7 linked regions of the Macaca fascicularis genome follow. The protein of the gene in region 3 purifies or fractionates together with the protein of the main gene of each other region. This does not show direct contact. Links are inferred from orthologs where the notes say so. Each region holds a gene or a part of one and is shown on either strand. Other genes may lie near its edges.

Region 1 (4,101 bases), on a different chromosome or scaffold from region 3:
ACCTGCTAGCCTATGGGAAAGCCCCCAGGCCCTGCCCTTTCTGGGAAGGAGAGAAGACTCTTTCGGGGTGCAGGAAGATAACCCCCCACTGGAGTCAACTGAGGACCACAGCCTGGAGACAACCTGGGCCGAACGCACAGCTTCCAGGACACCCCTCTGTTCTTATGCCTGCTCCTGCTCTAGAGCATCTCATCACTCATAGGCATTGGCTCTCAACTGGAAGAGACTGGGCCCCATAACTAGAGACATTTTTGGTTATCACAAGAGGCAGGGTAGGGAGAGGGGCAGTGCTACTGGTATGTAGTGGGTAGAGATCAAGGATGCTGCTGAACTTCCTCTAACGCACAATTCACTCCCCCATGACAAAGAATTATCCAGCCCAAAATATCAACGGTGCACTGCAGGGAAGATCCAAAGTCTTAGCTTGTCACTCAAAACCTTTATCACCTCCTCCCCAAACTCCAGGTTGGTCTCTATTGTGTCCCTGTAGAAGCCAAACATATACGCCATTGCTCACCCATTTCTCCTCCCCTTCCATACTGCCCACAACCAAACTCTCCCTTTTGCCAATGGCACCACCTCCAAGAAGTCTTCCATGATTGCTTGGGCCCACACATTCTTCAGCTCTGTGAGCAGGGACCGTATATCACACCACCATTTACAGGTGAGGACATCGGATCAACATTTCTTGATCAACAAGAAATCTTAACAGCCCCACAGTCCCGGGTTTGCAGGGCAGCCTCTAGGCCCACACAGCCTGCAGATGGATTCCACTTGGCCGGCACAGAGATTTTTTTCTACCGTGCATCAATCACTAGCATTGAAACATCAGAAGATGTGACACAAAAGCCTGCTCCCTATTCTCCAAACATCAGAAGAGTGGCCACCAGGGCCCACAATCTTTTGTGGAAACAACCAGCAAAAACAGAGAGCAGCTTCAGGGTGGGACAAGCAAGGCCTCCCCAGGTCACCGCAGGCCCATCTGCCCCCTGCTGTCACTCACATGGCCTGCCCAGACCCTGGAGGCATCAGAGTTGGAGACCTCTGAGCCAGTCAACATCACCTTACCCCTGACTTTATAAAAAGGAAACTGAGGCCCGGAGAAAGGCTTGTCTGAGTCCACACAGCCAGTTAGTGGCAGGGCTGGGGTGAGGACCCAGGGACTTGCTACCTGTGAGATGCCCCTGCATGCCACACTGTCCTTCCAAGAACGCTGCATAGTCTCAGAGCTTGAAGGCCTAAAAGACAGGGTACAGGGACACCCAAAGAGTGATATGCTTCTCTCAGCTCTTGCATTGGCAGGAGCTGGGCAGGACAACCTCTGAGTTCCTGCTCCCAAAACTAGAGTCCTTGAATCTGACAGCTTGACTCCAAGGATGCTCACAACAGGTGCCATGTCTGATGCACAATGAATGATAAGGCACTCACCTGTGCGTCAGGCATGGTTCTGCAAGCTTTGTATATATCAGCTCCCTGAGCCTCACAACAAACCCTATCAGATGGGTACGATAACTCACATCCCCATTTTTTTAAATGAGAAAACTGAGGTTCAGAGAGGTTAAGTAAATCACCCAAGGCTGCACAGCTGGGAAGCAGGGAAGCCAGAATTTGCACGCAGAAGTCCGCATCCAGAGGCCGCGCGCTAACCACTGAACAGCATCGCCCCCCTGAAGGCTGGGCTCTTGCCACAGCTCTGCCTGCCCTGCCTGTGACAGGAAGCAGATGCAGGCAGGTCTAAGTGTGCAGCAGCCCACCGCAGCATGTGGATCTAGGCTAATTTTGAGGAAGCCCTTCCAGACTCATGAGAAAACTGTCAACCAACCACAGGCCCTGAGTCACCCCAGGAGGAAGTTGCCTGGGTCTAGGGGAGATGGGTGTGGCCAGGAGTTTGGGGGTGAGGTGGGTCTAGGCAGGACAGTACAAGGACCCTGACCCTCAGCCACCCCAGGCAGAGGGGGAGCCTTGGCCCCCGGGCACTGTGACTTGCCCGAGATCACACTGTGAGTTACCAGGAAAGGAGGAACCAGGGACAGCTGTGACTTCACAAGTTGCCCAACAGGAGCTTGGGCCGGGCAAGTTACCCTAATTATTAGCACAGGTCGCAATTCTCTTTGGTAGGCAGAAGGCCGTGGTTTGACTGAGCTGGAAGCTAAGAGGACTCGGCCCCTCCCTTCCCACTGGAAGCACAAAGGGGTGATGCCCACTTCTTTTCCCCTTGAGTGGCCCAGGCTCCATTCGGGCCCCAGGGGAAGAATCGGGGCTGTGTCTGTGGCCGACCTCACATCCTGGTCAAACAATCCCAGCCCACGTTCCTTCCAAGATCCCTGACTTCCAAAGCACTTTCACATCTGCTGTTGGCTTTGTGCACAAATAACCTTCCGGCCGCTGCTGTGCCCCATCTCACAGAGGCAGAAACAGAGCCAGCCTCGGAGTGAACGTCAGTTACATTTGCCTGGAAAGTGGATTCCTGCTCCCTTACTCCTCACTCCTGCGGGTCCCCCCAGCCATTTGACAGAGGAGGAAACTGAGGCCCAGAGCAGGACAGGGATTTGCCCAGGATCCCCCCGAGAGGTGGAGAGCAGGAGCTCTTTCAGTTGCGGGGGGCTCCGTAGATGAGGGGTCACCGCAGACACGCACACTCACGCACGCACACACACACGCACACCCGGGGCCCCCACACTCACCACATGGTAGATGGCCAGGGCGGTGGTGGCGATGCGGACATTGAAGCAGCAGCAGGTCTGGCGGACGGTGGACAAGCGGGGATCCATGGTGCTGCTGTCCCCTCCTCTGAGGCACTGAAGGGGAAAGAGCCCGGTCCCTGGAGCAGGGCAGAAAAGGGGAAGCTGCTGGCTGCCCTCCTCACTTCCTTCCTGCCCCTTAGACAGGCAGGGACAAGGTCGTCACAGCTGGGGTGGGGCAGCTGGGAGCGGGGGCAGGGCAGCAGCCTGCCTCAGAGCACCCCACCACCCTCTGCCATTCCCAGGAAGGGGTTCCGGGGAGGACAGACCCTAACAGTGTCATCAGGCCCTGCTCTGCACCAGGGCCAGGGTTCTGCCATTTCACACACCTTGCTTACTAGAAGCACACTACCAACTTTGGAAGCCAGGACTGTTACCAAACCCGTTTCCAGATGAGGAAACAGCTGTCCAGAGAGGTCAAGGCACTTGCCCCAAATCACATAGTAGTTAGCACTGGTGGCAGGATTCAAACCTAGATCTGTCTGGCTGCAAAACTAGCTGTTGTGTAGGAGGCATTTCCTGCCTCTTCCAGGCATGCTCCGGATTCACTCCTTTCATCCTCACCTCAACCCTTTGAGGGAGGTACTATGATGATCCCCATTTTACAGATGAAGAAACTGAGGCACAGAGGGGAAATGATTTGTGCAAGGTCACACAGCTAGTCAATGAAGGTACAAGGATTTTAACTGAGGCTGACTGGTGCTAGAAGCCTCCCTGGAGCTGGCATTCTCTCCCACTTCCTCACCCTGAGCCACAGGGAGAAGCATGTTCTTCCTAAGCTATGAAGAGGCATGCAGGGCTCCAGACAAGAACGGAAGAATAACCACTAAGCAAACCCATCAACTGTGGGCCAGGCCCTGAGCTAGGCTTCTCTTCTAGCTGGGTCAATAACTCTTCACAGCAATCTGCGAGACCCAAACCTCATTTTCAGGACCTCGAGACCCCTCCCCCATACTCACACAAAATCAGGGATTGCTTTTCCCCTTGATCTTGGGAAAAGTTGGAATTAATAAGCACAACTATTCGGCAAACTACCTTGGGATCTCTACTCCCTCCTCAGATGATAAGTTATCCATATTTCAATAAAGAAAGGGAATAGGAAGTAGATGCAACTTTTCTGGAAGAAGCCCTGCTTTGTCCCACAACTGAGCCCCTTTGCAATGCCAAGCTTCTAGTGGAGAGCAGACAGGAACTGCCATGAAGCCCTGCCCTCCCAGGAGATCGTGGAGTTAGGATTGGACACTGCTGCAGCCCATCATGTCTGCCCCAGGAGAGGTTATAAAAAGTCCCTAAGCTCCTCCCACTTGGCAGAAGTTGCACTGTTAGACCCACAAAACTTGGTTGGTGGACTTGATCAAAC
Region 2 (3,500 bases), about 7.0 Mb from region 3:
CTCTACTAAAAATAACAAAATTAGCCAGGCGTGGAGGCGCATGCCTGTAATCCCAGCTACTCGGGAGGCTGAGGCAGGAAAATTGCTTGAACCCAGGAGGTGAAGGTTGCCATGAGCCGAGATTGCACCATTGCACTCCAGCCTGGGCAACAAGAGCGAGACTCTATCTCAAAAGAAAAAAAAAAAAAAAAAGAAAGGAATCAGGGACTACAGCGAGGCTGAGGAAGGAGAACCACTTGAACCCAGGAGGCAGAGGTTGCAGTGAGCCAAAGTCACGCCACTGCACTCCAGCCTGGGCAACTGAGCAAGACTCTGTCTCAAAAAAAAAAGAAAAAAGAAGGAATTGGGGGTTCTCCTCATGATGAAAGAGGCTTGGGTGCTCTTGGGTATACCCCCCGCCCCAGCCATAGGTCCAAAAGCTGTTCTGATGTGGGTCCACTCCTCAAGAGTGACAAGCATCACTTGGCAAGGGGGCAAGAGTGGGAGGGAGACAGCAGTTGGAGGACAAGGTAGCAAGGAAGGAGGGGGAGTGTGGAGGAGGCCTCGTAGGCCTCTAGCCACCCACACCATGTCAGCAGTCACTCTTCTCTGTCCCCAGGCATCCTGGGACCCAGTGGCTTTCTCCTCCCCATGACTGTCATTGCTCACTGACCCCTGCCCTGATGCTGCTGCCTCAGCCCCTCCCCTTTGCCACCACCCCTCATCAGGCCCTACCACAGCCATTGTATTGTATTCAGGGGGTCACTATTTTTTTCTTTTTTTTTTTTTTTTTTTTTTTTGAGGCGGAGTCTCAGTGTTGTCCAGGCTGGAGTACAATGGCACAATCTCAGTTCACTGCAACCTCCACCTCCCCAGTTTAAGCAATTCTCCTGCCTCAGCCTCCCAAGTAGCTGGGATTACAGGCTTGCACCACCACGCCCAGCTAATTTTTTTGTATTTTTAGTAGAGATGGGGTTTCACCATATTGGCCAGGCTGGTCTCGAACTCCTGACCTTGTGATCTGCCTGCCTTGGCCTCCCAAAGTGCTGGGATTACAGGTGTGAGCCACTGCACCCAGCGAGGGGAATCACTATTAATCTCCACACATGAAGAGTCACATTTAAAAAGAAGGAAGGAAAAACAGGAAGAGAGTAGGGGAGGAAGGGAGGGAGGCAGGGAGGAAAAGCGAGGAAGAGAAAAAGGAAAGAAAAGTAAGCATGAGAGCCAGACGCGGTGGCTCACACCTATGATCCCAGCACTCTGGGAGGCCGATCGCTTCAGCCCAGGAGTTCGAGACCAGCCTGGGCAACATAGTGAGACCTCATCTCTAAAAAAAATTTAAAAATTAGCCAGGTATAGTTGCCCATGCCTGTAGTCCCAGCTACTCTGGAGGCTGAGGTAGAAGGATCACTTGAGCCCAGGAGGTCAAGGCTGCAGTGAGCTATGATTATACCACTGCACTCCAGCCTGGGTGACAGAGCAAGACTCTGTCTCTAAAAGGGGGGAAAAAAAAAAGGAGAAAGAGAAAGAAAAGATAAACATGGATGTCCCACAGCTATAAATGTGACCAGGGTCTCGGGGGTTACCTCTAGTTTGAAATATAAATAGGGCTGGCTTGATTTTTCTTCCCAAGTCTTTTCTTTTTTTTTTTTTTTTTTTTTGAGATGGAGTCTCGCTGTCGCCCAGGCTGGAGTGCAGTGGTGCGATCTTGGCTTACTGCAACCTCTGCCTCCCTGGTTCAAGCAATTCTCCTGCCTCAGCCTCCCGAGTAGCTGGGACAACATGCCCGGCTAATTTTTTGTATTTTTAGTAGAGACAGGGTTTCATCGTTTTAGCCAGGATGGTCTCCATCTCCTGACCTCATGACCTGCCTGCTTCAGCCTCCCAAAGTTCTGGATTACAGGCGTGACACCCCGCGCCCAGCCTCTTCCCATGTCTTGATCTCACTCAGGATCAAACTCAATCTCACCAGATCCCCTCCAAGCACTCAGAGTGGCAGGGACACTGAGAGGGACTTAAGGAATAACTGGGCAGTTGGTAGAGGGCGTTGAAGGCTCTCAAGGTAAACCAGGGGACGGGAAGAGAAGGTGGAGAGAGGGAGGATGAATGAGTAGGTGGGGGAGAAGAAATGAGGAAGGGTGGGAGGCGAACGCTACAGCAATGAAAGTTAGAGGAGACCCCATGTGCTGGGCATACAGGAAGTGCCTAGCCCAGCTCAGTACTCAACACGCATCGTCCTGCGGTATCACCCACTGCAGCCCCCCGCGGCAGATGCTGCCATGAACTTCATTTTACAGAGGAGAGGCCTGAGGCTCAGGGAAATTAAAGGACTTGGCCAAAAGGACACAGCTGGTAAGTGGCTCAGCCTGGATCTACACCCAGGTTTATCCATCGCTTCACAGTGATGAAAAAGAGGATGACAGAGAAAGGCAGGAGGTACAGGGAGAGGGGAAGGGAGAGCAGAGGCCAGGGAGCAGGCCAGGGGTCCAGGAGGAGGGCCAGGGCAGGACACTTACGAGGCTGGTAGCTCTGGTAGACACAGGCCACTTCGTCCGCGAGATCAGCTAGCTCACAGTCCCTCAGCGCCGCAATGAAGGACTCAACCCAGCCGGGCCGCCGCTGAAGGGTACTGAAGAGATGCCAGAGGGTGTCCCGGTTCCCTGAGAGTGTGCAGGTGGCCCGCAGTCGATCCTGGAAGACACAATGCCACTGTCCGGCTCAAGCCAGGCGGCCCCAGCCACTTACCCACCCAGAATGAAGCCACAGCAGGGGGGTGGGGCGCCAAGAAAGCCAGAAGAGCAAGGTGGCCACCTGAAACTGAATCAGAGCCCAGGACAGGGCCAGGTATGGAGTGAGGAAGAGCAATTAGCAGCCACATCAATAAAGGCAGCTGCTGGAAACTGACAATTAAGTATGTCCTGGACTCTCCATTAAGGGCTTTGCATGTATCATCTTATTTAATGCCATTATTATCCCCACTATACTAATAAGGAAACTGAGGCTTAGCAGAAGCAAAGTACTATAGCAAAGATCCTACAATAGTGGGGCAGGAATCCAAACCCAGTTAATCTGATACAAAAGCCTTGGATTTATATGGCCCCCAGGGCAAAAAGAAAGGTTTGGATTAGGAGAGAAGGAAAAGGTAAATAGCAAAAGTATGATGAAAGGGGCAAAAGAAGGAAAGGGAGGGGGCCGACAATAAGAAACAAGGAAGCTGAGAGTGCTGGGGAGATTCTGGGCAGATGACAGTGGCTGCAGTTTTTTTTCTTTTTTCGAGACTGAGTCCCGCTCCGTCGCCCAGGCTGGAGTGCAGTGGCACGATCTCACCTTACTGCAACCTCTGCCTCCTGGGTTCAAGCTATTCTCCTGCCTCGGTCTCCCGAGTAGCTGGGATTATAGGTGCCCACCACCACACCCGGCTAATTTTTTTGTATTTTTAGTAGGGACGTGGTTTCCCCATGTTAGACAGGCTGGTCTCAAACTCCTGACCTCAGGTGATCCGCCCACCTTGGCCTCCCAAA
Region 3 (3,983 bases):
CTCCATCTCAAATTAAAAAAAAAAAAAAAAAAAAAGGCCGGGCGCGGTGGCTCAAGCCTGTAATCCCAGCACTTTGGGAGGCCGAGGCGGATGGATCACGAGGTCAGGAGATCGAGACTATCCTGGCTAACATGGTGAAACCCCGTCTCTACTAAAAATACAAAAAACTAGCCGGGCGTGGTGGCAGGTGCCTGTAGTCTCAGCTACTTGGGAGGCTGAGGCGGGAGAATGGCGTGAACCCGGGAGGCGGAGCTTGCAGTGAGCCGAGATCACGCCACTGCACTCCAGCCTGGGAGACACAGCGAGACTCCGTCTCAAAAAAAAAAAAAAAAAAGACGTATTTTTTAAAAAAGAATGTAGAAATGTTTGATTCTAGAATACACTGAAGTAGTCTGTACTCATTTTTGTAATTTCATATCATATCCTTGGTGACTTGACTTGTATGCTGAATATAAGGGAATTCCTTTTGGACTCACAAAACTTAAACACATTCACGGTTCAAAGAAGCAGTAGAATTTCCACCTTCATTTCCATTTTTTTTTTTCTTTCTTGAGACAGGATCTCAATCTGTCACCCAAGGCTGGAGTGCAGTGGCACAGTAACAGCTCACCATTGCCTCCACCCCCAGGACTCAGGTGATTCCCCCACCTCAGCCTCCTGAGTATCTGGGACCACAGGCACCCACCACCACACCCAGCTAATCTTTGTATTTTTTGTAGAGACGGGGTTTCACTATGTTGCCCAGGCTGATCTCCAATTCCTGGGCTCAAGAGATCTGCCGGCCTGGGCCTCCCAAAAGTGCTGGGATTACAGGCGTGAGCCACCACGCCCATCCCATTGTTTTTTTTTTTTTTTTTTTTTTTCGGAGTCTCACTCCGACACCACTGACACCCAGGCTGGAGCGCAGCAACCAGATTTGGGCTCACTGCAGCCTCCACCTCCTGGGCTGAAGCCATTCTCTTGCCTCAGCCTCCCTAGTAGCTAGGACTACAGGTACCTGCCACCACGCCCAGCTAATTTGTGTGTGTGTGTTTTTAGTAGAGACAGGGTTTCACCATGTTGACCAGGATGGTCTCGAACTTCTGACCTCGTGATCTGCCCGCCTCGGCCTCCCAAAGTGCTGGGATTACAGGCGTCAGCCACAGCACCCGGCCCATTTCTTAATTTTAAAAATAAATTATAGCTTAAATAAACCTGTAAAGGCCGGGCGCGGTGGCTCAAGCTTGTAATCCCAGCACTTTGGGAGGCCGAGACGGGTGTATCACAAGGTCAGGAGATCGAGACCATCCTGGCTAACACGGTGAAACCCCGTCTCTACTAAAATACAAAAAAAAAAAAATTAGCCGGGCGAGGTGGCGGGCGCCTGTACTCCCAGCTACTTGGGAGGCTGAGGCAGGAGAATGGCGTGAACCCGGGAGGCGGGGCTTGCAGTGAGCTGAGATCCGGCCACTGCACTCCAGCCTGGGCGACAGAGCGAGACTCCGCCTCAAAAAAAAAAAAAAAAAAAAAAACCTGTAAAATACACACAGCAAGCTCTCACCATATCTGCCATGAGAACTTCACCTGAACTGATAAATAACTCCTTAGCCGATTTTGAGAATGGAAATACACTGCCTTTACATACTTCCTGAAGATCGAATTATATTAGGAAAAGATGCAGGAGAACCCAACTAAGTGCAATGATAGGTGGCTGGCTCCAGGGTCTTACTAATTTTCAAGGCAAAAATCTCACACTTCCCCATCCCCCACTCCAAACCAAGTATATCGCAGATGTGGAAGAACGGCAGAAAATGTAGTAAGATTAGGATACGAATACAACCAAGAAAACAAGGTTGCGTTGTTATTGGGGATAATGAATTCCTGGCCCTTTACAAGTTCACCTGGTTACATGTCCAACTAACTTTAGGCCCAGCGTCTACTTGGGCGCACAAATCCTGCGATTCTCTCTTTTAAGTCGCGGCCCGGAACTGTCTTGGAAAACTTGAGTTATCCACTTAAAAGTCATGTCATCACGTTTCGACCCTTAGAATACGTTCAACGGCTCTTTTTACTTTTCTCTGCTAAGGAAAAGGGCACTCTCCGGAGGAAGGGCAGTGACAGCTCCACGTCTGCAAAAGTCGGCGCCGCCACGACGGTGGCGGGCGTCGGGGAGGGTGCCGGGGCCGGGACCACCATGCCGGGGGACAATGGAAGGAGGAGGGGAGTGGGAGAGAGAAGTGGAGGTAGCCGCTGGGCTGGGCCCTTCTAGCGACTGGGGGCTCGGAAGTCTCGGGAAGGACAGCTGGGTAACGGGGGACCCGGCCGACGCCCCTCACAGGGCCACGTAGCCCGCGCCGGCCCGGGCCGCCGGGCCCCGCGCGTAGGCCGAACCGCTGGAGAGTGGCCCCAGGCGGGGATGAGGGGCGAGGGGCCGGACCGTACCCACGCCCGTCGTGGCCCAGCCCTTTCACAACTTGGAGCCCGCGAGGCGAAGGCCTCGGGAGCCTGTGCCAGGCATTGATCCCTCCGAACGTCCAGATAACCCACCCCCACCGCCCGGCCCGGGCCAGTAGCCCGAGCTCCCCGCGCCCCCCACAGACACCGGCTCTGGGAGACAGAGCAGCCGCGGCTCTGGGGTCCCGACCCGCGCGTCCCACTCCTCTACCCTAGTTCTCCCCCAACATTCTCATCCGGACTCCCTCCCTCTCCCGAGAACTGCCCCGAGCTCGCCCACGGGTGTTTACCGGGACTCCGGGCGGCGGCGACTCCTCAGTCCCTAGACTAAGATGGCAGCCGGTCCCGAGCCCCGACCACAGCTACCAGAGCGAGTTAGCAGCCAAAGCGCAGGCGCCTGAGCGCGGGAGTGGTCTGGACTACAAGCCCCAGCAGGCCTTGCCCGCCAGCCGTTCGGCCCGCCCCTGGCTTGAAGAGCCGGCTGCGGTGGTAAATCCAGTTAAATCCCAGTTTTCCTCACCTCCGGGTGAGACGGGAGCGAGCGGCTCATTCTTTTTTCTTTCTTTTTTTTTTTTTTTTTAACACCCCGCCCACCGGAGCCTATAAGGACTGTGATTCTCAAACTATGGTGTGCATCAGAATCACCTAGAGAGCTTATTAAAACTTACAGTGCTGACCCCCACCCCCAGAGTTTCTGATCAGAAGATCTGGCATAGGAGGATAGGGTCTGATAATCTGCATGTCTAACAAGCTCTCTAGTGATACTACTAGTGAGTGAAATAATAATTTGAGAACCACTGTGCTACACAGCTTAGTTTATAACTTAGTTGTTCTTTTTTCTTTTTCTTTTCCTTTTCTTTTTTTTTTTTTTCTTCTTTTTGAGATAAGGTCTCACTCTGTCAACCACGCTGGAGTGCAGTGGTGCAGTCATAGCTCACTAGAGCCTCACACTCCTGGGCTCAAGCAAGTCTCCTACCTCAGCCTCCTGAGTAGCTAGGACAACAGGTGAGCACCACCACACCAGAGTAATTTTTGTCTATTCTTTGTAGAGATGGGGATGGGGTGGGGTCCGGATGGGATGGGGCAGGGACAGGGCCACAGTCTCGCCATGTTGCCCAGGCTGGTCTCAAACTCCTGGGCTCAAGAGATACTGCCTCCTCAGGCCCCCTAATCGCTGAGATTATAGATGTGAGCCACTGCACCTGGCCTGGTTTAGCCTTTAACAATGTACATTAAAGGCTGTGGTTAAAAAGAAAATAAAAGAAAAAAATGTACACTTGAGAGTTACACTGACTGGGTTCAAATTCTCCCTTTTCTACCTTTTAACTGGGTGTGCTTAGGAATGGTGATAACAGCTTAGTGGAGCCAACATGGCCGGTATTCTAAGAGCTGATACCAAGCTCTCTTTATTCTCACGAGAAACCTATTCCAGAAATACCGTTATTATCCCCATTTTACAAATGTACAAACTAAGTCACATGCTTGATAAGAACCCAGGCAGTCTGGTGTGAAAGTCCATTCTCTTAACCTTCTTCATGGATTGCTTGAGA
Region 4 (4,195 bases), on a different chromosome or scaffold from region 3:
TTTCTAAAATCTTTTAAATAGGTAAACAGATCTGCAAATTTCATGTAAAAGTGACTCCACATCCAATCGTGGTCAGAGGCTTACTTCACATCTAGACCATGAAGGTAGAAAAAGCACTTTCAATTTTACAAAGTCACAAACTTTTCCAAGGAAAGAAGTAATTTAAAATGAAGTATGATGTAGTGCCAGAAAGTGTCTGTCAATGACGCCGGATAAACCCATACAGAATAGTTGGAACCTGAGTTATCATCTGTAAATAGAGGCAACTACTCTACAACCACCTGGCTGTTAAAATGTCCCAGGCTAGTTATAAAATGTAGTTTGGTCAGGCCAGCTTTTCCCTCCCAGCTGATCTGAAACAGGATAGCCTTTAAAATTGTCACCCTGTAACGTTCCTTCTTTACCTTCCTACTTTCCTTTCCCTCATTAAAATCAACCAAAGTTAGTTTTAAATGTATGTAAATAATGTGTTCCCAAATAAGCAATAGGTTAAGGACATCTCAGTAATAAGTCTTTGAACACCATCACTTACAACCTTGACGCACTTGTCCAATTGAAGATAGGTGGGAGATGGATGAAAATGTATACCACATTCAAAATGGCATTTCAAACTATTCTTAGCTACTAAATGAGGGTGCTGAAAGGTCTAACTGAGAAGGCTTCACAAAGGCTGGCCTGAGAAAGAACTTTTCACAAAGCGTAGCTCAAGGAGACTTAAATACCCTTAGCCCTTCATCATTGAAGATTATGGTGACTAATTATCTTCCTCTCTCAATGGGAGAAGAGGGTTATATTCATAAAAGTTTTAAACTGCCTCCCAACTTCCACTCTTCATGGCGGGGAGGGAGGATAACTGAACTAAACATCCCAGGTTGTTGAAAAATTCGTTCTAAAACATACACTAGAGATTGAAAATGCTGTTTCTCACCAACTTTCTCTTTCCTTGCTCATTTAATTCTATTTAGTCCCTTTATGCAAATTATTATATTATTATTAGTGGCAATTTACCAGGAACTGCTCACAGTCTATTGAAGACTGTTATTTTCCCTCCCACTTTTCTTTCTCTTCATTTTCACATACCCATGAAGCCCATCTTACTGTCGAAGCACCAACGTGCAGTGGCCCAGGCTTGGACCCTCAAGACACCTGCCTGATCCCCCAAAACTATTTACTAACATCTTTGGATCTTCTAAGCAGATAGGGGCAACTCTCTCCTCACCATTACTATCACCACCACAGGCACCACAAACACCACCACACATCTCAAAGAGTAGCCTTGTGTTTTAGATTACACAGACTTTAAAACTTCAAGAATTCACGGTCCTACCCCTCCTGCTCCCGCCTCAGGGAGTGTGAGTCCCCACCCCAAGCCTAAGCACTTAGGAGAAACCTATCTAGTTATCTGAGATAAGCACTGACATGCATGCTGGGCTAAATGTAGATTTCAGCTTCCCTCGGGTCTTTAGCTCCTCCATGTGATTAATTACCTAGAGACCCACAAGAACCCCAGGAGGTAAGGAAGTAAAAGTACCAACTAGTAGTGGTACCCACTAGCATCTCCTCACCTAAGTAGGACGGGAAAGCAGCGCACACTCTAACCGATTTAACTTGCTGCACATCCAAAAAAACTAATGGCGAGCTGCAAAGAAAGTAGAACACACGGACGTTCCCACACGCGCCTAGATCGATTCACTCACGCCGAGGGCACGACCAAGTTCATGCCACCATGGATTCCTGCCCCAGTTCCCCGCGAAAAGTAACCACGCGTCTCCTACCCCTGAAGGCAACGAAGACAAGGTGACGACTCTCTGCTCGCTCAAGTGGCTTCGGTCCCGGGCCAGCGGCCAGGGATGGGCAGGGGGGAAGCCCCAACTCCCGGCTGCTCCCCTCCTCGCTGCTCCGTCCGGGCTCTCCTTGGTGGCAGTGGACAGGCAGGATACCGGGCCAGAGGGTGGAGCAGCGGATGGTCGGAGGCGAGACTGACTGGAGGTGGTGGTAGTTGGGGGGGAGGCGGAGAGAACTAAGAGAAGAGGAGGCGAAAGAGAGAGGAGACGGAGGAGTAATTCAGAGGGTCTACCAGTTTAGGCAGCCAGAAAGCTCCTCGGAAGGAAGGGGCGTGACTGCCAAGGCAGCTCCTGGGCAAAGGATGGGAGGTAGGGGAGGGGGACGCACGGGTGGCTTTTCTTCTTGCGGTGAGCGGCTAGGACCGCCCCGGAGCAGGGCGGGGGGGGTGGACTAGGGAGGAAGGCGGAGTAGAGGGCGGGGAAAGAAGGGCGGGAGCCTGCCTGGACCCTGGAAGTGAGGAGTGGGGGGAGCGCGGAAGAGAGGCGGGGCCGGGGGGCGGGGAAGTTTCAAACAATTGAACCGCGGGGTCCGGGAGCTCCGGCGAAAGCAGGGGACCCTCGCTCTCGCCTTCCCACTAGAGGGGCACGACTCGGTTGCCGTAGCCGTGAGAGTCTGCGCCGTGACTGGCTGGGAAGAAGGAAAGGGTTTTGCAAAAGACTACAATAATAATCTGCGGCAACTGCGCGGCATAGTCGCGTGGGAGAGGCAGTGCAGCTCCCCGCCCCACTGCTGGAGGAAGAAAAACAAATAATAGAAATGCTGAAAAGCACCTTCCACCAAAGACTGCTTAAAATAATGCAGGAAAGTGCAGTGCTCCTTCGTTTTCCTTCCCCTCTTGCTTCCTATTACCAGCAGGCTCCCACCGAGGTCACAGCTCTGCGAGACACCCTCCTTTCTTCCTCCGCTCCCCCACCCCGGGCGCTTGCCCGGCTCCCGTTGGCGGGCCGCAGAAGCTGAGGGGCGAGGGAGGAGGGGTCGTGGGCGGGGCTCTGCAGAGGCTCCGCCCCTGGGCGGGCTGGAAGCGCCGGCCTGGGCGGAGTGGGCCCCTGAAGCGTAAGTCCCGCCCACCATTCTTTTGCAGCTACCCGTTGGCCCGGCCTGGCCTAGTATACGCTTGCGATTGGGCCCTGGAGTCGCCAGTCTGATCCCTTTGTCCCACCCGTCCTCAAAATTAATAAAACTAAACAAGAGGCTATTGTGTAGTTCTGTGTTCTACCCCAGCTACTGCTGGGAAGAGAAAGATGAGACGCTTTATTTCTCAGTCTCATAAAAGAATGCAACAGTGTGTCGGTCGACTCTGGTACGCCTTTATGTTTATGGTAGTGTCCAGCTCTCTGCGAATAGGTAACTTTTCTTCCCCCTTAATTCATTAAATCAGGAGGGGGGAAAGTACATGAAGTGTCGTTGTGGTGTTCTGCTGGCTGCGAAAAAAACTGACATTGGTTAAAAACAAGAGAGGGCTGAGAACAGCATCCTGGGACACGGAAAATCTACCATTTTACATCTGGGAAAACGAAGGCACAAAGAAACAGTGTCCGCGTAGCAAAATAACACGGAATTTGGAACCAAAGGAAGAATTCATTTGGGGCCCTGGCACTTGCTAGCTAATTGTGTGACTTCTGTTAAGTGGCTTAACTTCTCAGCCTTAATTTTTCTACCTGTAAATAAATGCTATGAGACATGCCCTATTAACTTAAAGACACTGGTGTGAAAATGTGTGTGAAAACTATAAAGCACTCCACATATGTATGTGTTCCTACTTGTGTATGACACATAATGGAGAGTCTTAGATGTGTTAGGGGACCAATATTCTGCTCATCTGTTTTAAGCATTTACATCCAAGGTCGTGTAGGTTTTGTGGCTTTATTTTAAAAAGTCAACTCTTTTCCTACAATTTTGGGGTGGATATGAAGTTGACTCCCTGCAGTTAGAATAATAAATTACCCCTTTTCTAAGCAGGGTGGGTGAGATTTCTTTTTTAACGTTCAACAGTTTCATGACAACTTAAAGCTATTGTGGTTCTGGTACTGAAAGAGGAAATCATGCTGTGTATCTCCGAAGTGAACTTGAGAAAACAAATATGAAGGAACATTTACCATGGAAACCACCATTCTCTACAGATCCATATTTCCTAGAAAACATTTCAAGTAGGAAACAAGCCTAAATGTAAAGGCCTTGACAGCGCAAGGCTATTATAATGACTCATGCCAATGAAAGAGTGACATCCAATTCAAGCCTGCCTAATGGGAGCCATCTGGGGGGCCGTGGATCAAGGCATGCAAGAGGAAGTGTGCTTAAAGGAAACACTATCACACAGTAAATAGGGGCTCAGAATCCAACTCTGACTTCA
Region 5 (3,500 bases), on a different chromosome or scaffold from region 3:
AGAAAAACATTCAGCTAGGTGATAACACCCATAGAAAAAAACACCAATTTTGTGTTTATCTTTTTTAATTTGGCATTTGTTATTTGCATTTATATTAAAGCAAAGTGCATCTTTTCTTTATTTTTCTTGTTTATACACATTGCACAATACATAAATAATGATGCTTATAAAACGTCTTTATATTTACAAGTAATAATATATTTATATATAACATAAAATACATTTTTTTCTTTAATAAATCTCAGGGTTTTTTTTCAGGAGTCCTTTCTCTCTCAAAGCACTACAATGCTAAATTTCCAATGAGAATGCTTCTCTTGTTCATTTAAACCTTTGTAGTTAGAAAAATAGCTTATGTTAAAGTCTAAACATGCTCATTGAGCTAAGAACAGTGTCAAAGTATCATACGAGTGTATGAGTTGTAGAAGAAATGAAAGAAGAGTTAGGTGTCAGCCTGGGATGGTACCTTGGGTTATGACGGACCAAATCCTTCTTGGAGGGAAGGGGACTGCTAAGCATGTCCCTCCCAGGGACGTCCCCGCTTGCTGGCCCAATAGCAGAGCTCAACACACAGGCTGGGAGCAGGGAGTGCTGAGCTGGTTTTCTAAGTCCGGGAAAAACCTGATGTCACCAGGGCAGGCAGGGGAGAGGCTGAGGGGAGAGGGCACTGGGTGAGCAATACTGTGATGGGGCTGCCCCGGCAGCCCTTAGGAAGCCCATTTCAGGGAGATCCAGGAGCAGATGGCCAAAAAAGAAAGACCTACAATGGCAGGGGCTGACGGGAAGGGAATAAGACAAGGATGAAAACAATTGATTCTGGTTCAGCCACTAGCAGGCTTGCTGCTCAGAAGCCTGTGGACAGGCCCGTGTCCTTGATGAGGGAGAGGAGGGGCAGGGGCTTTCCTAGGCTGGGGACACAGCCGTGCTCCTGGCAGCTGCTGGGACCCCTGCCGCCCAGGTACTGCCTCTGCCCCACTGAGCATGTCCAAGGAGCACGAGAGACACGGCTTGGGACTGCAAACCTCTCTGCTGGGGACATTCGTAAGAGACACAAAACAAAGCACATCGTCTCCCCATTTGCTGCTCCTGCACACGCGTGCACACACTCGTAGCCTCACACTCACACACACACACACTCCTGACAAGTGAAATGATGACCGCCCCCCTTCATATGCTGCATTTGGTGGTGCTTGGATTTCTGCTTCCCCTCTTCCTATCAAGGTGTCCTGCCGATCATACCCACCCCCTCTTCCAAAAAACCCCCAACAATTCTTTTCATAAGCTATTTCTCAAAGAGCGAAACAAAACAGAACACAAACGAGGACAAGAAGAAGAAAACCAACCAGCCAACCAACAAACAAACAAAAAAACGACCAAAGAGTTTGCATGAAAAGCAAGCACTCAGGAGGAAAATATTAGCAGCAAAGTAGTTTGAAGTGTGGCCTGCTCAGCTCACGCTCTGTCCCCTCCACACGCGGCTACCGGCTGTTGAAGATGACCTCTAGCCAGCACGGGCAGCTGCTGATGAACTGGCGGGTGTAGCACTGGCCCCAGCCCTTCACAAAGCTGATCTGCACGGTAAAGCCCGTCCACGGCTGCTGCATAAACTCGTGGTCATTGGGCCGCTGCAGGCTGTACGCCTTCTCGTAGTCGAAAGCCTTGATGGAGAAACCGGGGAACACCTTGTGTACCAACAGCGTCCTGGAGTCCGGGTTGTCCAGTGTGGCGGACTTGATGAAGATGGGGTAACTGCTACGGTTGTACACCCACACGCCATCCACCTCCCGCGTCAGCTGGATGCCACAGCCGATTTTGCTCCGCACCTTCTGCACCAGCTGACTCTTGTTGTCCGAATTGAGCTGTCCGAGGCAAAAGCCATTCCCCTGAGGTAGATCATAGAAGATATCCAGAGAGGGCTCCTGGACACAGTAGAGCCTCCCCACTCTCGTCTTCTCCTCCCAGTATGCCACCACGCACCAGTGTGACCGATCCCCAGGCTCCAGAAGAAGTTGGGAATCTAGAAAACACAATGGCAGAGAGGGTTGGTGGGGACAGGCATTGGTGACTACTAGAATGAAGATACCCCCCACCCCGGTCACCAGCTCATCTCTCAGGACGAGACAGAAAGAAGGAGGCGGTGAGGATAGTCCTGGACTTGCCCAGGCTCTTACAGCCCTTTGACCAGGACCCTGCCTTTCTTTAAGCATAGGAAGCGCTGGGGGCTGCTTCTCTCCAGGCCCCTGCCTGTCAGGAGTCCAGTACACCAGCACCTGTGTCCACCTGGCCAACAAAGCCTCTTCTCTGCAGAGCACAGGCGCAAAGACACCCTTAGTAACTTGGGTGGTCCAGTTTTAGGGCCGCAAAAAGCCTCAGCGACATACTGGAGTTACAGATCTTTCAACCGGATGGAACCTTGAAGGCCAGCTCCTCCAGCCCCTTGTCATCCTGATGAGAAAACCAGGACCCAGACAGCCTGCTGCTGGAGTACCAGGGGATGACACAGCCAGAGCTAGAACCCAGGTGTCTAGACTCTGGGGCCACCTATGTGACGGTCTCTGGGTGCCTGTCACCCAGCTCTCAAATCAGTACCGTGGTCATGAGGGACCTCTTTATCCGGTAAAAATAAAAATGAGAGTGGCTTGGGACAAAAACGTCTATATTCCTAATAGAAAAACAAGTCTCAGTGTGTCAGCAGCAGCCCTGTACACAAAGGGTGAATTCATGTCAAAATGCCAAATCACAACGTGCAGACCGGTATTAACCCAGGCTACCTTAACAAAGCTTCCTCCAGCCCAGACAGAAGATTATGTGTCTCAAATAGATGTGTTCCCCTTCTCTGCCGGCACCCCCGTCACCATGGGTGCCCCCTCTCTCCCCTCCTTCCACAGAAGCATCCGGAGCCTGCAGGGCGCCCTGCTCCGCCCTCATCCCTCCCCTGCAGGCCCCGCCCCGCTTCCCTACACAGGGCTCTTCCCACAGGCAGCCTGGGGGCTGGGGTGATTCTGGTAAGGTAATTTTCCTCAACAGGCGCTTGGAGGACTTTAAAAGGGGGGTCACACGGACGGAAAGGGAGCCCCGGCAGCGGGCATTCTGACTCCTCCTTAAGCAGGAGCCAGCGGGCAGGCCTCAGACTTGGGACCATAAATCTCCCCAGCCCAGCCAGACTGCAGGAACGCTGTGGTTTGTGGCAGCAGGGTGGAGACCGGAAGTCTTGTATTTGTTAACAAAAATGGGGACAGCAGAGGGGGGGAAAGCAGAGAGGGGAAAGCAGAGGGGAAGGGCCCCATGTCGGTCAAGCCCTTGCCCTCGCTCCCTGCAGCCCCAGCTCCTCCCTCTCGGGAGCCTGGGGGGCACAAAGCAGGGGTTGAGTGTGAGATGTGTTTTGGTGTGGCCTTTGTATTCTGGAGTAACTGGGTTCAGAGTGAACGATGATGCGTTGCACCCTGCGGGGGGTCGACGGCGGAGGATGGGGCCGCATCCTGCTGCCCCAGCAGGCTGTGTAA
Region 6 (3,500 bases), on a different chromosome or scaffold from region 3:
CTTTACTCTTTGTTTTGTGGTCTGTTGCTTTTCTCTTGCTAATTTACTTGACTAGATAACTAAGAATTCAGGTAAGCATTAGCTCTTTGTTCACTGAGAATGATACAACTTGGAAGATAATTAATTTGGATAGTTCTACATGTATTTCATTTGTTATTTCTCTTTCCCTTGTTCATTATGATGTTTTGAATTATTTATGTGCCCATATTCTTTCCGATGCCTCAGCTCACTATGCTTTTTAAAAAAGTATTAGATTCCTCAAGGTTGGAAAACAAGATCTGAATACTATAAAACATAATAACTATTTTTCTGTGATCAAATATTAAAGATATAATGGCTTTGGATTTGGGGGTGATTTTTCTAATGTCAGTTTTTTAAAAAACTTGTCTATTTGCATTTTTATGTGTTATTACTTAAGAGTATTTCCAAGGAAAGTTTCATGTTGTTTGTCTCCATGTCTTTCTTTTTCCAAAAGAACTTATTTTTTATATTATAAGTATCAGTGGAAAAGTAGGATTCATTATATGGAAATTAACTTTAGGCTGGGTGCCGTGGCTCAAGCCTATAATCCCAGCACTTTGGGAGGCCAAGGCAGGAGGATTGTTTCAACTCAAGAGTTTGAGACTAGCCTGGGCATTGTAGCAAGACCTGGTCTCTACAAAAAATAAAAATAAAAAAGGAGATTCACTTTTTTATTTTTGAGATGAAGTCTCTCTCTGTCGCCCAGGCTGGAGCGCAGTGGCACCGTCTTGGCTCACTACAACCTCTGCCTCCCAGGTTCAAGCGATTCTCCTGCCTCAGCCTCCTGAGTACCTGGGATTACAGGCGTGAGCCATCATGCCTGGCTAATTTTTGTATTTTTACTAGAGACATGGCTTCACCATGTTGGCTAGGCTGGTCTCGAACTCCTGACCTCAAGTGATCCACCTGCCTTGGCCTCCCAAGTGTTGGGATTACAGGTATGAGCCACCATGCCCGGCAAGAAATTTACTTTTTAGGCCTGTTCAAGAATACATCTATTGCATAAAATGGAAAAAAATTGGTACTGAAATCCTTGACCTTTTTCTATCAGATTTTTAAAACAAAAAATTGAATTTGTGTTCAAATCTGTTTTAGTAGTATTTTGACTTTTGTATAATCTAGAACATTATTTCTGTATCTCAGGAAGCTGAATATGGTGGGCATGATCAGATAGATTTGTATGACGATGTCATATCTCCATCTGCAAATAATGGAGATGCCCCAGAAGACCGGGATTACATGGATACTCTCCCACCAACAGTTGGTGATGATGTCGGTAAAGGAGCGGCACCAAATGTTGTCTATACGTATACTGGAAAGAGGATTGCATTATATATTGGAAATCTAACATGGGTGAGTGAAGTTAATATATGAATTAAATTATTGGTAATTGATTTTGAACTGTTCTAGTAATTAATGTTTTTCTCCAGATTTTTATAAGTTTGAAGTTACTGTGTTTGTTTTTCTATACGTGTTTGCTTGTCCAGTGAGGAGGGAAATACAGATATCTTTGCAACATCATTAATTCCAATTCTTCTAGTTTTGAGTTTTGTGGTCGTTCAGCTTTTCTTGGTGGAGATACTAGTTAAATATAGTTAAATTAGTTTTGTCTTCAGTTACCTTTTTTATGCTACCACTTTACCTTGCTTCAGATAGCCTAATTTCACTAAAAATAATGCTCACATGGGGTCTCAAACCAGGATTCAAGTGTAAAAGGCAAGAGACATAGTGTCACTCCTGGTTTAAAAATAGTGTCCATTTAATTTGTATTACAAATTTGAGTTTTATTTCTGCTCTTAAATTTGAAATCTGATTTATAGAAGCACTGCTATATGTATTATATTTTAATTTGGGTTGTCATGAGACTAAGATTATTGATTTAGAGCTTCATTAAATGCACATATGTATATTTATATTTTTATTAACATTACATTTTAAATATCATTAAAATAGTTCTATAGAATTTTTGTATCTCTACTTAGTTATTATGTATACTTGAAAGTTTAAAACTTGTATATCCAGAAATCAGTAAAATTTGGCACCGTTGCATTTCCTTAATAACACTGTATTTTTAACCTTTTTATTTACATTTCTTTTTTTGGTGGGGGAGACAGAATTTGCAAAACTATCACCCAGGCTGGAGGACAGTGGTGTAATCATAGCTCACTGAAGCCTCAAATTCTTGGACTCAAGTGATCCTCCTGTGTCAGCCTCTTAAGTAGCTAGGAACACCGGCATGTGTCACTACACCTGGCTAATTAAAAAAACAACAAAAACTTGCTATATTGCTTCAGGCTGGCCTCAAATTCCTGGCCTCAAGGTATCCTCCTAACCAAGCCTGTTAAAGTGCTGGCATTATGGTGTCCAGCCTATTCACATTTCTTTTAAAACTAATTTGTAACACATCTCCCACCACCCAGTCTGAGTATTCTATAGTATTGGAAACAGTAGCAGTGTAGTTATGTAAGTATGGTTGCTAAGTAAGTATTTGGATCTTAGCTCCACCATCTATTATTAGTTTTGTCACCTTGGGCAAACTCTAACTTCTATTGTATTGTGTGTAAAATGAGGATAATAATAGGGTTTATAGGGTTGTTATAAGAGTTAAATAGTTAATACATAAAGTGTATGGTAAATATTAAATACATGTTAGTTTTTTCTTGTCTATGTTTTAATTCAAAAACAAGATGAAATTCAAAATATTTTCCTTTAATGGGAGGAAGTGAAATTGGTTTTATTCACAATTTAAAATCATAGCAATTTAAAGCTGTAAGGGACCAGAAACTCTTGAGAGTCAAATCCTATTGTAACCCCAAGGGTACTGTCTAGTTTCTGAAATATGTATCAGGGAATGAAGTTAGGTTCCCGGATGTTTTTTGTGCTGTTTAAAAATTGGAGCCTGACTGGCCGTAACTAGACTTAGATTTGCACTCAGCATTTATTTTGTATGTCCCAAATTTCCCCTTAAAAACTAAACTGGGATAATAAAAATCTTGGTTATATTTTAATGGTTAATAAGGGGAATAATATCTTGCAGTGGACAACAGATGAAGACTTAACTGAAGCAGTTCATTCTTTGGGAGTAAATGATATTTTGGAGATAAAATTTTTTGAAAATCGGGCAAACGGCCAGTCAAAGGGGTAAGATTTTTTTCTTTCTTTTTGATTTAGTAGCTAGTGATACAGTTTTTAACAAGTTAACTTTCCTGTAAGTTAATGTTAATTACGCGTGCATACAACACATGATTGTTTACATTGGAAGGAGGTTCTTGAGCAGAGATTGATACTGTTCACTTTATGTACCCTATTACCTAGCACACTAAAACCAATAGAATGGAGATGTGGACAGATCTATTTTCTAATTTTCCCAAGTTTTCTCCATCTGTGGTTGAAATGATTGTTGAAATCACAGTTTAGGAACCATTACTCTCCCTGTGATTAAGAGATGGGAGAAGATGGGCAGCTGAATACCGTGTGTT
Region 7 (3,500 bases), on a different chromosome or scaffold from region 3:
CTTTTCTGTAATGGAAGCCTTAGTAAAGCAAAAGTTTGAACACACAAATGAGTACAGGATTAGCAACCTGAGAAGGAGCTAGAATCCCAGTTTACGGTCATTTTCTACCAAAGAGACTCCGATTTCTGGTGAGACACATGCATAAATGCAAAACAAGGGATGTGAGGAATACATTAATTCATTAATATTAACCATTAATTCATTCAGTGGATAGACTGAGAGTACCTTCTATGTGTAAATGCACTGAGGGATATTCAATGTTTAAGACAGTCCCTTATTTAAGGAATTTTAAACTCAGGAAAAAAGGTACACAAAGGCATTTATAAATTGTATGAATGAAATATAACACAGGTATTAAGCAAATTGCTACTATATAATCAGGGAACAGCCCATAAAAGAAAAAAAGTTAGATCTCAGACTACACTTCAAAAGTAGGACATTCTTCAACACCTATAAAAAGAAGGTGTTCTAACACTAGAGGACAGCAAAGTCTTTCTGTAAAGGGCCAGAAAGTAAGTATCTTAGGTTTTGTGAGGCATATGGTCTCTGCGGTAACTACAGATGCTCTTCGCTTATGAAATGGCTACAGCCCAATAAACCCATCATAAATTGAAAATATCGTAAGTTGAAAATGCATTTAATACACCTAACCTACCAAACATCATAGCTTTAGCCTAGCCTACCCTAAATGTGTTCAGAACACTTATATTAGCCTACAGTTGGGCAAAATCTTGTAACACAAAGATTCATGTAATTCATTGAATACTGTACTGAGAGTGAAAAACAGAATGGTTGTATGGGCACTCAAAGTAGAATTTCTTTCTTTTTTGTTTTTAATGAGGTGAGGTCTTGCTCTGTTACCCAGGCTGGAATGCAGTGGCATGATCATAGTTCACTGGAACTTCTAACTCCTGGGCTCAAGTGATCCTCCTGACTCAGCCTCCCAAGCAGCTGGGACTGCAGGCGTCCACCCCCATGCCCAGCTAGTTAAAAAAAAGACTAGTTTAGCTGTTGATCAGGTACAAGGATCTGATTTCAAGACCATAATCTTCTGACATTTCACTTGCCAAAGAAAACCAGTGATTTCCAAATAATTTAGAAAATTGTCTAAAACTAAGGAGGAGTGACATGAACAAATGATCCCAAAATTGGCTGTTTTCATCACTAATTAAAAACAAGGTTAAAATTTTATTTTATTGTTCACCTAATATAAAAGGCCTTTCAAAAGGACTGAAAGTTGCCTAGGCTAAGTGAGTAAGTATATTCCCCAATTATGAATGAGTGGTAAGACTATAACTTCCTAGAAATTTCTCATTTATATAGTATTACCTCTCCCCCAATCATTTCCTGGTAATCAAAAACAAAACACCCCCACAAACCACATGTATACTCAACCCATGACTATATTTAATAGAGTTTGGATTGTAGAAAATACTATCTTACTGTGACATTTTGGTGAAAAACGATTGCAAATCAACATTAATCCATATTATAACAAGTCCCAAAGTAAAACTTCCATTATGACAGGCATGTGTGTTTATCAGTAATGAACTCATTAACTACTGCTAATAGAAGCCCTTAATCAATTTTCCTTTTAGTCAAACAATCTGTTTTGTCAATGTTTTTCTTGTAAAATCTTTTTTTTAACAATAGGTTTGGTATGTTTTGTATACAAATATACCTTAAAGACAATGACAATAATCAATGCTATTTTAAAAGTCATTATTTCATTTGTATAGGAAATACTACCACAGCTTTGTCATCTTCTAAACTTACTGTATTTACACTATTATAATCACTCAAGTTCTAAGATAAAGGGCAAATTTATAAATAACACCTGTAGCTATATGCAAAATGCCATTTCATTTCTCCAGGAATAATATTCTGTAAAAGAATGTAATAGTAGGCTGGGCATGGTGGCTCACACCTGTCATCTCAATACTTTGGGAGGCTGAGGTGGCTGAGGTGTGAGGACTGATTTTGAGGTCAGGAGTTTGGGACCCCATTGGCCAACAAGAGATCCCATCTCTAAAAAAATTTACAAATTAGCCAGGCGTGATGGCACATGCCTGTAGTCCCAGCTATTTGAGAGGCTGAGGCAGTAGGACTGCTTGAGCCCGGAAGTTCAAAGTTACTATGAGTTACGATCATGCCACTGAACTCCAGCCTGGGAAACAAAGAGAAACCTTGTCTCTTTCAGAAAAGAAAGAAAAAAAAAGAGAAAGGAAAAGAAAAAGGAATAAGGAAAGGAGGAAAGGGAAGGGAGACTGTAAGAGTATAATATAATAAAATGGCTAAGAGATCAGGCAGAGTAGAAGGAACTAAAAATTAATTGACAAAAACAAAAAATAGTCCCACAGCAGTAAGGTATGCACAGTATATAAATCATTCTGTTTCAGGTATTTAGTAATCAGTGACATACTCCACTTTTGTATGTAAGTACAAGTAAAAATTTTATTTTTGTTAGTATATACATGGTACAACATATACTTTCAATGTGTAATTAGTACTTACCTATGTGGGCAGCCTTGGCAGATCTTCTGATCAGCAAAGGAACCTCCTAAGACTTTACTTAGCATAGCTGGATGTCCTAAAGCTTTTAAAGCTTCATCTAAACTATCCACCAATGAATTAAAAAATTCTAAAGCATCGTGTTGTTCACGCAGATTAACAGGCTCACCCCAAAGCCTAAGAAATGAATGAAATAAAACATGTAACGTGACATTCACAGAACAATATGTACAACTATATTTTTCAGGGGGAAAAAAAACAACAGGACCACAAACAACAGTATATAAAACCGAGATTTTATTCCTCAACCACACAGAAAAAGTAAAAAAAAAAAAAAAAAAAAAAAAAGAATGTGCTTTCCCTATAGAATGTAGTGGGGTAAGAGAGTGAGCCTCATACTAAAACTAGTACCCTAGCGGCAAAGAACTGCCACGAAACCAGTGGTGTAATTGATGGATAGTACGGCTCCAAGAATGAGGTGGTGGATCTCACTCTTACGTGGATGTTACAATTACTATTTTATTTCTTTCATTTTGCTTATATTTTAGATTATAAATAGTAAAAAGATCAGATCTAGTTACTCTTAAATTTATTTTTTTCCCCAAGAGAGAAAGCTTTAACTTGTTTTACAGTTAATCTCTTGAATAATCTAAGAAAAGACACCATCACTACATACCACAAAATGAGAACTCATACTTCTAAAACTCAGGCACTGCTGGAAACTATCAATAATACCTGATTTTGTATATACAGAATAATGTACATAGAGAATTTAAGTGTATTTGTTCTAAGCAAGAAATGACAAACATTTTAAAGTATGCAAGAACTGTCTTTTGATACTTTTGTAAAACCTTTTCTATATAGCAATCTCATTTCTATATTTTAGACAAATAAAAATTTGTATACAGTAAGTTTAAAATCAAATAAATTGTTAAAAATCAGCTTGTTCCATTACAAGAAATTACACCAGTCTGTTCTATTTACTTTCA

Evidence for each region.
Region 1: the proteins of ITCH (region 3) and LAPTM5 purify together in Homo sapiens (affinity purification with western blotting; 3 studies listed by BioGRID and IntAct, with this or other methods). This does not show direct contact. The link is inferred for Macaca fascicularis from reciprocal best matches to the Homo sapiens genes ITCH and LAPTM5.
Region 2: the proteins of ITCH (region 3) and MAVS purify together in Homo sapiens (affinity purification with western blotting; 3 studies listed by BioGRID). This does not show direct contact. The link is inferred for Macaca fascicularis from reciprocal best matches to the Homo sapiens genes ITCH and MAVS.
Region 4: the proteins of ITCH (region 3) and AMOT purify together in Homo sapiens (affinity purification with western blotting; 3 studies listed by BioGRID). This does not show direct contact. The link is inferred for Macaca fascicularis from reciprocal best matches to the Homo sapiens genes ITCH and AMOT.
Region 5: the proteins of ITCH (region 3) and SMAD7 purify together in Homo sapiens (affinity purification with western blotting; 4 studies listed by BioGRID and IntAct, with this or other methods). This does not show direct contact. The link is inferred for Macaca fascicularis from reciprocal best matches to the Homo sapiens genes ITCH and SMAD7.
Region 6: the proteins of ITCH (region 3) and CPSF6 purify together in Homo sapiens (affinity purification with mass spectrometry; 5 studies listed by BioGRID and IntAct, with this or other methods). This does not show direct contact. The link is inferred for Macaca fascicularis from reciprocal best matches to the Homo sapiens genes ITCH and CPSF6.
Region 7: the proteins of ITCH (region 3) and USP9X purify together in Homo sapiens (affinity purification with western blotting; 3 studies listed by BioGRID, with this or other methods). This does not show direct contact. The link is inferred for Macaca fascicularis from reciprocal best matches to the Homo sapiens genes ITCH and USP9X.

Annotation. Positions count from the first base shown.
Region 1 is NC_088375.1:204,258,396-204,262,496, reverse strand, and holds the start of LAPTM5 (lysosomal-associated transmembrane protein 5), read right to left. Parts: upstream 2,801-4,101; 5' UTR 2,772-2,800; coding exon 2,685-2,771; intron 1-2,684. UniProt on the Homo sapiens protein: May have a special functional role during embryogenesis and in adult hematopoietic cells.
Region 2 is NC_088384.1:83,429,429-83,432,928, forward strand, and holds part of MAVS (mitochondrial antiviral-signaling protein), read right to left. Parts: intron 2,671-3,500; coding exon 2,496-2,670; intron 1-2,495.
Region 3 is NC_088384.1:90,410,700-90,414,682, reverse strand, and holds the start of ITCH (E3 ubiquitin-protein ligase Itchy homolog), read right to left. Parts: upstream 2,801-3,983; 5' UTR 2,724-2,800; intron 1-2,723. UniProt on the Homo sapiens protein: Acts as an Acts as an E3 ubiquitin-protein ligase which accepts ubiquitin from an E2 ubiquitin-conjugating enzyme in the form of a thioester and then directly transfers the ubiquitin to targeted substrates.
Region 4 is NC_088395.1:119,350,243-119,354,437, forward strand, and holds the start of AMOT (angiomotin), read right to left. Parts: upstream 2,801-4,195; 5' UTR 2,616-2,800; intron 2,156-2,615; exon of another isoform or gene 1,776-2,155; intron 1-1,775.
Region 5 is NC_088392.1:40,841,537-40,845,036, reverse strand, and holds part of SMAD7 (mothers against decapentaplegic homolog 7), read right to left. Parts: intron 2,015-3,500; coding exon 1,476-2,014; 3' UTR 1-1,475. UniProt on the Homo sapiens protein: Antagonist of signaling by TGF-beta (transforming growth factor) type 1 receptor superfamily members; has been shown to inhibit TGF-beta (Transforming growth factor) and activin signaling by associating with their receptors thus preventing SMAD2 access.
Region 6 is NC_088385.1:76,016,297-76,019,796, forward strand, and holds part of CPSF6 (cleavage and polyadenylation specificity factor subunit 6), read left to right. Parts: intron 1-1,164; coding exon 1,165-1,374; intron 1,375-3,058; coding exon 3,059-3,162; intron 3,163-3,500. UniProt on the Homo sapiens protein: Component of the cleavage factor Im (CFIm) complex that functions as an activator of the pre-mRNA 3'-end cleavage and polyadenylation processing required for the maturation of pre-mRNA into functional mRNAs.
Region 7 is NC_088395.1:41,197,487-41,200,986, reverse strand, and holds part of USP9X (ubiquitin carboxyl-terminal hydrolase 9X), read right to left. Parts: intron 2,689-3,500; coding exon 2,515-2,688; intron 1-2,514.